Linked DNA regions of Alligator mississippiensis. The protein of the gene in region 1 binds, or shares a complex with, the protein of each later gene. Links are inferred from orthologs where the notes say so. Each region holds a gene or a part of one and is shown in the gene's direction. Other genes may lie near its edges. The genes, in order: MED18, MED21 and MED31.

What was found.
Region 2: MED18 (region 1) and MED21 share a complex: the UniProt entries of both Homo sapiens proteins name them as parts of the mediator complex. The link is inferred for Alligator mississippiensis from reciprocal best matches to the Homo sapiens genes MED18 and MED21.
Region 3: MED18 (region 1) and MED31 share a complex: the UniProt entries of both Homo sapiens proteins name them as parts of the mediator complex. The link is inferred for Alligator mississippiensis from reciprocal best matches to the Homo sapiens genes MED18 and MED31.

Annotation. Positions count from the first base shown.
Region 1 is NC_081826.1:254,266,012-254,269,132, forward strand, and holds MED18 (mediator of RNA polymerase II transcription subunit 18), read left to right. Parts: upstream 1-805; 5' UTR 806-815; coding exon 816-957; intron 958-1,423; coding exon 1,424-1,977; 3' UTR 1,978-2,494; downstream 2,495-3,121. UniProt on the Homo sapiens protein: Component of the Mediator complex, a coactivator involved in the regulated transcription of nearly all RNA polymerase II-dependent genes.
Region 2 is NC_081827.1:129,467,815-129,471,565, forward strand, and holds the start of MED21 (mediator of RNA polymerase II transcription subunit 21), read left to right. Parts: upstream 1-922; 5' UTR 923-977; coding exon 978-1,019; intron 1,020-1,276; coding exon 1,277-1,391; intron 1,392-3,489; coding exon 3,490-3,590; intron 3,591-3,751. UniProt on the Homo sapiens protein: Component of the Mediator complex, a coactivator involved in the regulated transcription of nearly all RNA polymerase II-dependent genes.
Region 3 is NC_081837.1:9,414,532-9,418,282, reverse strand, and holds the start of MED31 (mediator of RNA polymerase II transcription subunit 31), read left to right. Parts: upstream 1-1,003; 5' UTR 1,004-1,093; coding exon 1,094-1,103; intron 1,104-1,200; exon of another isoform or gene 1,201-1,283; intron 1,284-3,066; coding exon 3,067-3,144; intron 3,145-3,751. Other genes in the region: uncharacterized protein LOC132244834, read right to left, coding at 1-157, 689-844. UniProt on the Homo sapiens protein: Component of the Mediator complex, a coactivator involved in the regulated transcription of nearly all RNA polymerase II-dependent genes.

The DNA of each region.
Region 1 (3,121 bases):
CCAATTGCAAATCCGTCTGACTGAAAAGGTGAAGTGAAGAGGCAAGGATTTCCCAGGGCAGCCTCTTTTATTGGACCACCTGCTTGGTTGAGAGGAAGCTGGACAGGCGTTGGGGGGCGCGGTGCTCTTCCTCAGCATGAAAACATTTGTAAATCAGGAGTTGAACTACAGAGGCGTTGCTCAGGAGAAGTGTAGGGAAGTTTGGTGTCCCAAGAGAAACTCTCTCGGGAGACATTTAACTCTGGTTGCTCCCGGGTTATTTCTCTCTCTCAGACACTTTTTCTGGTGAAATCGACGATTTTGCAGGGCACGGAGGTGGGGGCGGGCAGCGCGAGGCGGGCGCTGCAGCTTTGCCGGCTGCCAGGGCCCTTGGCGGGGTTCACAAAACAGCGGCGTGCCCAGGGCACGAGCTTAAGCGGATGAGGTAGGAAGAAATGTCAGGACCCTGCGCTGGCGGGGCAGACAGGGCGGGGGTTACTGGCTGAAGGGCGCGAACCGCGCGTACCCGGATTGGGCAGCAGCGGCCGTGGGGGCAGGGCCGAGGGCCCGCGGCGGTTGGCCTCCGGATGCTGAATAACGGCGAGGTGACATGGCCCCGCCCCCAGGAGCGCGCGAGTCACCAGGCGCCCGCCTCCCAGCTGGCAGCTTCCCTAGGGCTCGCGGGCGGCGCAGGACAGGCCCCGCCCCCGGCCGGAGAACCCCACCCCCGGACTCCGCCCCCGCCGCCTCCCATTGGCGCGGAGACGGCGGCGCATGCGCACCAGGTTTGGACGCGCTTGGAACCCTCCCACCCCCATCCTCGGCCGAGTGTGCGCATGCGCCCTGCCCGAGCTGTCGAGCGACTACCTCTGCCCCCCCACAGCCGAGCTAGGTGGCCGGGCAGCATGGAGGCGCCGCCGGTCACCATGATGCCCGTCACGGGCGGCACCATCAACATGATGGAGTACCTGCTCCAAGGTGAGCCCAGCCCCGGCCCGCGCTGCCTGGGGCGGCCCGAGCCCCCGCCTTCCAGCTGGGAAGAAACCGGCTGCGGGTTGGCACAGTGCTCAGGCAGTGCACGAGGTGGGCAGGGCCTGGGCTCAGAGAGACGGGCAGGCTACATGTATTGCGTAGTTGAGCCATTAATTGCGCGATGTATGTAACCGGCGGGGGACGGGACAGGCGGCCTTGGACGGCCAGACTAACAAAAGCTGGCAGGGCCAGCGCTGACACTGTGCACCTTTATTTCTTCAAGTAATTAAGTTCCCTGCTGCTTTCAGGAAAAAAGAGCCTGGTGTTTTAAACCTCAAGGCAACAGACTGCTCCCTTGTGAAGCCGGGGTGGAGGAGGGGTTTCTGGGCAATCTTGTGCCAATAGAGGAGAGGAAAGGGCATGGGTGTTCGTGAACTGGTGAGCAGTGACGTTTCCGGTCTGTCTTCTCCAGGGAGCGTTCTGGATCAAAGCCTAGAGAGTCTCCTCCATCGGCTGCGGGGCCTGTGCGACAACATGGAACCGGAGACGTTCCTCGATCACGAGATGGTGTTTCTCCTCAAGGGGCAGCAAGCCAGCCCCTTTGTGCTGAGGGCACGGCGCTCGATGGACAAAACAGGCATGCCCTGGCACTTGCGCTACCTGGGCCAGCCAGAAATAGGAGACAAAAACCGCCATGCTCTGGTCCGTAACTGCGTAGATATTGCCACCTCGGAGAACCTGACCGACTTCCTGGTGGAGATGGGCTTCCGTATGGACCATGAATTCGTTGCCAAGGGCCACGTATTCCGCAAGGGCATCATGAAGATTGTGGTATACAAGATCTTTCGCATCCTGATGCCAGGAAACACTGAAAGTATAGAGCCCTTGTCTCTCTCATACCTTGTAGAGCTGAGTGTAGTGGCACCAGCAGGTCAGGACATGGTTTCTGATGATATGAGGAACTTTGCTGAGCAGCTGAAACCATTAGTGCACTTGGAGAAAATTGACCCTAAAAGGTTAATGTGAATAAAAAGCAGTCATGGGTGTTGCAGACCACTTTGGTTCAGGGTCATAATGACCTGCCTCCTTAAACTGTTCTTACAAAATACCTCTTGCAAGATTAAAGCTAGGGGCCAGGAATTATTTGGTATTTAGTTTTGTCACTCTGATAATTGACAGTTTGGGGTAATTTGTTGTTATAGGGTAGCTGTGAATAAAAGATGTTTGAAAACAGCTTAAAAGCAATTCTTTCAAATGAAATTCTAAGCAGTATGAGGAAAGGCATTTAACATAAGTTTGTATTAGCATTCCTGCCCCTCCAGAGTGCGTATGTGTACACGCACACACACTAATACTAGAACAGGGAGCATACAATGCCAAGTTTGAAGACATTTAACTTATGTAATACTGCTTCCCCAGTAGCGTATGTTTGCATGCCTTTTCAACAGTTGTACTTTTGTTGCTCTTGAATGCTGTAATATTCAGGTTCCAGGTTTTAAAACAATGTTCTCAAGCTATTAAAAAAAAAAAGATTCCATCCTGACATCTGGGGTTTTGGAAAAGCTCTTTGGGGGTGGAGAGAGAGAAAAAGAAAAAACAAAACAAAAATCAGGATTTTTAGCCGCAAGTGTACTTCATAATACTTTAAAATCTGCAGTTAGGAATACAGTCAAACACCTCACAGTCTGATTGCTTCATGAAAGTCAAGCATCGCAATGCCCAACTGTTGCACGTGTTGGAGTGAATACAATGGATGGGGGTTGGGTATTTATAGTATTAGAGCAATTTATAAAACTAAGATGAGATGATTTATTATAAGAGTACTGCAAGAGTGGTTTATTTTGATTGCAATTGGTTTCCCATTTTCTCTTTCAGTATTTATAAATCAAACCCTATCCTACAGCTCCATGGGATTTGTATTTAGTATAAAATATTTAATTTTAGCAATGAAAACTCTCAAATGCACACACTCCACCACAAGGGCTATTTTTTCATTAAAAACCTAGGCATTAAATCTAATGTGCCTAAGGCTTCTGACCTGTTACTTTTGTAGCGCTACAAAGTTTGTAATAATACAAAACATCACTGTGGGGTATATACATCTACACAGACCCCTGGCTGGAGCATGACAAAGTCACCACAAAGGCTTGTTCTCTAGCCAGGGGAAAAT
Region 2 (3,751 bases), on another chromosome or scaffold:
TGTTGATGCCACTGGGGGACTGTCCTAAAGAACCCTGACCACATATTTTACTTGTCCGATAGAGTCCCCCAGTCGTGCAGAGGTATTCTGATGGGTGGCCCAAGCAGATTTTCTAGCTATAATCCCAGCCCAAAAACCAGTTCCTTATTCAAGATTTATACTTAGTATAGCGGGCATGGGGGCTGTCAGTTGGCAGCCTGGCACGGCCAAACCGTGCTGTGGTCAGGGTTCTTGGGACAGTCCCCCAATGGCATCAACAGGAAGTTTGTGGTGGCCCAAGAAGTATTTTGCCCCATGATCCTATCCTAATCTGACCTTCATTTAGGGCTCTGTACTTGAGGTGCGATATTATTTTACATATGAAATAGTACATGTGCATAGCTAATGAAATTATCCCTCTTTAGGATGTGCAATTCATTAATAACAAGCTTTTATTGGGTCTAGATTAGCTTTGAAAAAGGAACCTCACACCGGGAATAAGGAATTTGGAATAAGCAAACAACTTCATTCTTATGATTTGGGGCGGGTTTTGGAAAAAACGCAAGCCCCGGGGAGAGTACATCTCTCAGCCCCGCTTGTTTACTTATCTGCATAGCAGAGGGCTCCTTAAGGTAGGGAACTCAGGCCCGTCCGTCCAGCCCCAAAGGATCCCGCTCCTCCGAGGTGTTTTCCTCTCGAGTTCAATAGGAGCCGGCCCAGGCACAGGCCCTGCAGCGCCCGAGCCCCTCGGTGGCTAAGAGACCTCGCAAGTACCCTCCCGCCAGCAAGGAGCAAGCGCCCCCAGCAGCCAAGACACCCTCCTAGCGGAACCCGAACCACAGACCCGAAAAGGAAGTATGTACAACTCCACCCGTGCCACTTCTACTCCCAGCCCCCTCCCATTCCCTCCCTGACCACCTAAGATTGGGAGCTGCGATTGGCTGCGCCGTCGCGTTTAGGCGCTGACCAATGGGTGGGCAGGATGCTAGGGTGAGAGTATGGCGGACCGGCTCACGCAGTTGCAAGACGCGGTGAATTCGGTGAGGAGTTGCGCCACGCTGTGCCGGGCGGCCGAAGCCCGGGTGGCTCCTGGTCCCGCTCCCCCCTCCCCCACCAGTGGGCGTGGATCGGGGGGGATCTTCTCTTAGGGGGACGAGAGGGGGTCCCGGGGTGAGAGTCTGGTGGAGGGGAGGTTCGGGTGGGGGTTGGGAAGAGGTTGGGGTTGTGAGGAGGGTAGCGGCTTTGACTTTGCCCACTGGGCCCCGTGGCTAAGCATTGCATGCTGTGCGCCTTGCAGCTTGCTGACCAGTTCTGCAATGCTATTGGGGTGCTGCAGCAATGCGGTCCACCTGCCTCGTTCAGCAACATCCAGACCACCCTCAACAAGGACCAGCCAGCCAATCCTACGGAAGGTAAAAAACATCTTGTGCAGCTTTTCTGACTGGCGGGGCAGCTCGCTGGTACACACAGGGGTCAGTGAAGGTAGGGGCTGGATGAGATCTGTTCTGGGTCTCTGCAAGAGCGCAAATGTAAGTAACATTGTCTGGAGTTGGTAGAATTGTAGGAAAGGCAGCTGAAGGGACCCTGAGGTTGTCATGTCCAGCCCCTAGCCTCGGTAGGGTTATTCCTCACTAAGCCATTGCAGAGTTACCATCCTGATGGTCATACTATCTGGAATACCAGTGTGATGGTATCTGGGAACCATCCTGTTCTCTGCTCTAAAATATGTAATGGCAGGACAAAGCAAGAGTTATGTTTCAGGGAAGAGGCAGTTTAAAATATTTAGTGTTTAAACAATCAGGTCAGCCCTAATTTTGTTCCATGTGTTTCTTAAGTGGGATCTCTTCTGATCTAGGTGCACAACCAAAAATACTTCTCAAATTAATCTCCTTTTGCTTTATGTTTGAAATCAGGTTAGGCTTGACCTTGGGGATCCCAAGTGGGGCTAGCACAGTGCACAATGGTGCTGTGCTGCAGTTCAGGGCAACTGAACCATGCACAGCCCTGCATGCAGCATATGCTGGTCCCTATGCTCATGTGCAAATGGCCCCTTTGATCTTACAGTGCATGGGTTGGACCCAGAGCTGCTGGCAGCACAAGGAATCTGGGGCATGGGCTGCAGGCAGCACCCTGAACTGACTTCCTGTCCTGCTTGCAGTGCTGGGGCCACCCCGTGCCAGTTCCAGGGGCTAGCATATGCTGCATGTGGTGCATGAGCTGGACCCAGCACTGCCGCTACTCCACGGGAAGGGTGGGCAGGGGGAGGGGGTTGGTCCTAGTTCAGTCCAGTCCACAGAGTAACTCATAGACACTCAGCTGGCTGCAGGGGTGGATGCATTTGACACCTCTGCCTTAAACTCTGGCCAAAGCACATTCTACTATAGCATGTACTAATCTGGCCACTAGTTAGAAAAGGTTGTGCAAAACACACTAGAAAATGCCAGACTAGCCTCTTCTTAATATTAATGTCCTTGAAAGCAAGAAGGTTTTTAAGTACTGTTTGCAGAGTACTCATTTTTGTATTTAAGGTACAAAAGCATGTGAACAGGGCTATTGAAACAAACATTGTCAAAATGACACTTGATTAGACATGGAAAATGTGTTAATATATTAGGTTTTTAAAGTGTATTAAATCTTTAACCAGAGTATTAGTTGTATGTTCTTAGTCACCATTTTTTTTTTTGTGTGGGGCTTGTTTTTATTCTCTTCCATATTGTTTGGTGATTGTTTTTTGTTTGTTTGTTTGTTTGTTTTTTGGAAACAGTGGTTGTGACTTAAAATATGTCAGATGCACAAAGTAAACAGGAAAAACCTACAGATCTCCTTAACAACCTTTTAACTGTAGTCTTGTTTTACTTGTTAACTGGATTTATAATATTATAAAAGTCAATTTTTAAAACTAATAGAGGAGTTGTATACTTTACCAAAATTTAAAAGTCTTATCACTAGCAAAGGTATCTGGGTTCTAAGCTGCAAATTCTTTTAAACATATGGATAGCAAAGTTTTTAAAGGCATTTAAGTTCAGCGTGCTAAAATTCTAACACAGTAGCAGTAAACCTTTTAATCTAGTTGTTTCTTTAAATTTTTCACCATATTTATGCAGCATTTATACTGCACAGAGGTTGTTGCACACCTGAACATTTGTTAACTAACAGTTAACGAAATGGCAAACCCTACTCGTGTTCTTGCTGCAACTTCATATAGTTATGGGAGCACTATTTGTATACAACTATATTTAATCTGATGTTTTAGCCCTTTATTTGTGAATAGTCTGAATTTTTAGCCTTTTATCTGTGCTCAATGTGATTCAGTTGTCCTAATGTACCATGCTATTGCTGCCTTGTATGGGGAAGTTCTTAAGGCTTGACATTTCCTTGATTTTTAGAAGTAAATACAGCTTGTCTGAAATGGATTTAAGTTCTTTAAATGTGCCCCCAGCTTATTACAGGTCCTCCGAAGAAAAGAGCTAAAAATAGTATATTAGAGTAATTCTTATTTATTTTTAATAGAATATGCCCAGCTCTTTGCAGCATTGATTGCTCGTACTGCTAAGGATATAGATGTTTTGATAGATTCGTTACCTAGTGAAGAATCAACAGCAGCTTTGCAGGTAAGAAAGTTGAAAGCCAAAATACTGAAACACTGCAAAAATGCTTCTTAATCGCATTAAATCACATCTCAAAAGAGTAACTAATGTAAAAGATGTGATCTTGCATATTGTTTAAAATGAACTTCAGCTCTTCAAAAGAGAACCTGTAAATCTCAGGCAAT
Region 3 (3,751 bases), on another chromosome or scaffold:
CTATCCAACTTTGTAACGTCTCTGTGGAAACGGTTTCGACTTCTGGAAATGATTCATGGACCCACTCGGTGGCTAAGCTCCTCATTTCTTTGGGATCGCTTACACGACCCACCTTTTGCAGAAATGTTTCTGCCATCGTCCTTGCAGCTTTAAACAGCTGGAAAGAAAAAGCTAACTAAAATCTCTTGGTTTATTCAGCAGATACTGGGTCACCTGGTACGTTTTGATACGAGTAAACACGGGGCAGAACCTTAACCCTTCTCATCGGTCACGAGGGATAGACGTGATCACACGGTATTTGTTATGTTTCTTCAGAAAATATATAATATCAAAATCTGCCCCTGTAAGTTGTAACGGTGAAACAAATGTTTTGCCTGGCTATGGGGTTGTTTTTTTGGGGTTTTTTTGACAGAAAATGTCTCAAATGTTTGGCAAGCCCATTGGAAAGCATGCAAGTCAAGTCCACGGTGTGCACAGAGAGGCTGTTGAAATAAAGCTGAACTTTGATCGCTGAAACTGTGCTGCCGGCGTGTTTCTCACCCCCCGGATCGCAACCCCAAAGTCCAGCTTTCTGCCGTCTGCTTTACTGCGGCGCGTCTGACTCATTTCGTGGCCTCACGCTTGATCTTTCCCTGGGGTAAGGGGGAAAGGACGCTATAAGGGGGAAAGGACATTGCCTCCCGCATACCACGGGTTTCTCTCGGGACGGGAAACCCTTCAACAACGACAAACAGTTTTTACAAAGGATGGTTGTTTTGGAAGTTTTAAAAACCGCGTTGGCTTGCAAAGCACGCGCCGCTCCCACCGCGGTGAAACACACTAGTAACCCCCTCATCGCTGCCATTGGGAAGGATTCAGCTAGGGATAAGAGGGACGTCATAACAGAGCGCGAGTGACGTCACGGGCCGGGCGAGCCCCGCGGCGCGCTCCTAGGGGCGGAGCGGGGCCCTGTTACCCGGGAAACCGTGCGAGGCCACGTCTGCGCCGGCGCGGCGGCTCCCGCCATGCATCGCGGGCGGGCCGGCGAGCGACTTCCGGGTGGGGCGGGGCGCCGCCATCTTGTATCCGCGGGGCCCGATCCGCTGGGGTCGTCATGGAGACAGGTGAGGGTCGGGCTCTGTCGCTCCCGCCCCAACCACAACCACAACCACAACCCCTATTCCGATGCCGCCGGTGGCTGCTGCTGCTGCACGGCCCTACCTGGCTGCGGGAGCGGGGTCCCGGCCTTGCTTTTACGCTGCTGTGGCGGGAGCCCTGGAGGGTCCCGGGGAGCGGGCGGGCGGGGTTTGGCCCTCGCGGGCAGAAGTGGATCCAGGGCGGCCGGCCCGCCCGGGGGGGCCTCGGCCTGCAACGGCTTGTGCTGGGGGGGCGGTGTGTGAGTGTGCGCACAGGCGTGCATCCCTATATGGATGCACACGGCCCGTGCACCCCTATTTATAGCTACACGCAGGCGTGCGCATCCCCAAATATAGGTGTATGCTTCGTACACACACACACACACACACAGATACACCCCCCGACTTCCAGCCCCACACCCCCCTACATACAGATAGATACACCCCCCCTCCCCTACATACAGATACCCCTACTATATACAGACCCCCCCCATGTACAGATCGATACACACATACAGATAGACACACACACGTGCCAGGTGCTGTGAAATGAGCCTCAGCTTCCAAAAGCCAGTGCTGTGTCTGCTTTGCTCTGTGTGTATAGATGCTTTGGTTAGTCTGTGATGTTCAAGGCTACCCTTGGTTTTCTGACTCAAGATGGGGCTGCGGGGTGGGCATCAGCAGTGCTGGGGAGGGGGTGGCTATGTGGATTTTGGGGTGGCTGTAGCCCACCCCTCCCTGTATTGCTGCTTCTCACCCCACCCCCACCCACCCCAAGTGCAGTGCCCCTCCGAAGAGGCTGGTGCAGCCCCTGGCCTCCAGAGCCTGCCCTCACCGTGCACACAAATCCAGGGGGCCACATCCCCCCCCCCCCCCCCCGATGAGGCGTCTGTGGCTCCACCCCACTCCCAAGGTTGCATTCACTGTCCTGGCTGGTCAGCCCCTGCCCCTGCCCCACTCCTTCCCTCACTGTGGAGACCTTAATCTGCCCCCCTGACCCCCCTCCCCGACTTCCTGACAGTATCAGGTTGGTATCGGCCGATATGGCTGGTTAATAATCAGCCGTTGGTATCAGCCAAAAAAATCTTTATCAGTGCAGCCCTACTCAATTTGTTTAGCTTATCTTGGAGAAGGTTAAGAGCTAATTTGATGGTGGTCTGTGTCAGTCCGGCAGAAAGAGACCTAGTGTTTTGTCAGGCAAAGCTAGGTAAATTAAACTCGTAGTAAAGTGTACCCTTTATTAATTAATTGTTGCTATAGTTAACATAAAGGTTCCCTATTGGCTGAGGTCTTTAAATCGGTGATTTTCAACCTTTCTAGACTCAAGGTACCCTTTCATAACTTCTGTGAATTGCACTGCACCCCACTTCAAAAACTAATTTATTTCAGGTCTTATCTCCCTGCAGAGGGACATGGCATTGGGGGTGGGGGAGTGGCTGAGTCTTTAGTCTGAGTTTATCTACTCATCTCCTCACATCTCATTGTCACCCTTCAAAGAGTCATCCCCCCTTGAGATGAGAATCACTGCTTTAAATCAAAACTGGTCTCTTTCCAGAGTAACCCATGTCTCAAGCTCTTGTTAAAGTCTTGGTGCAAAATTAGAGAGTGAGGTTTTCATGTCATGCAGGTAAGAGGTAAAAAATTGCTAACATTCAAAGGGAAAACTAAATGCAGCTTTCATTAGCCCCTGGTTCTGCATTGTGGTCAGTCAGTAGTCATTTTTCCCTTTCAATTTCAAGGCCACACACGATTCTTTTGACACAACTTTTAAAAACTGGCAAGAGCCATTTTTCAAAACGAATCTGAATCTTTTTGGGGAATACATTGCTTGTTTCTTACTGTCTCAGATAGTTGAGCAACATAATCTGACATCAGATCCTTAATAGCTTTTTCCTAGTTATGGTCTTTGTAGATTGAGCTTCCTTTTTCTGATCTACTTCCTCTGTTTCAGATGATACTGGAAATCGACTTCGCTTCCAGCTAGAGTTAGAATTTGTCCAGTGTCTGGCAAACCCAAATTACCTCAACTGTAAGTAGTTGAAATTTCAACTGTGGGTATGTGAAAAATTAATATTACAGTAGAAGTCCTGTTATCCATCATTTTACTAACCAGAATACTCTGTTAACCGGAATTTCGGCCAGCCAGCCAGACACGGTGCTGGGGTGGGGAGGGAAGCTCGCACGTGGTGGCCGCCACTGCTACTGCCACCACCCAGTGCTGCCAGCACTTTGTGTTTGGTCGAAACATCCACCCTGTGCTGCCACCACCACCTCCTCCCTGCATTGCGTCTGGCCAAAATGTCCACCCTGTGCTGCTGCCACCCTTACCCCACCCCCCTGGCCAAAAACTGTTGGCCTCAGGTAACCAGAATTTTTAGATACCCAGCACCTCCCCATTCCCCACTTGTGCTGGATAACAGGGCTTTTACTGTTGTTAACTGTATTTCCTATTCTTGGAATGCATAATAGAGGGAAGGGGAGCAATACAAAAAAAGGGGGCTGAATTATTTAACCTAGTGATAATATGAAGTTTGCTTAATTCATAAAATTCCTTTGGCCAAGTAGGAATGGGTTTTTTATTAATAGGCAATGTTCTATTTTGTGTAACAATTACTTTAATTTATGAACTGCATGCA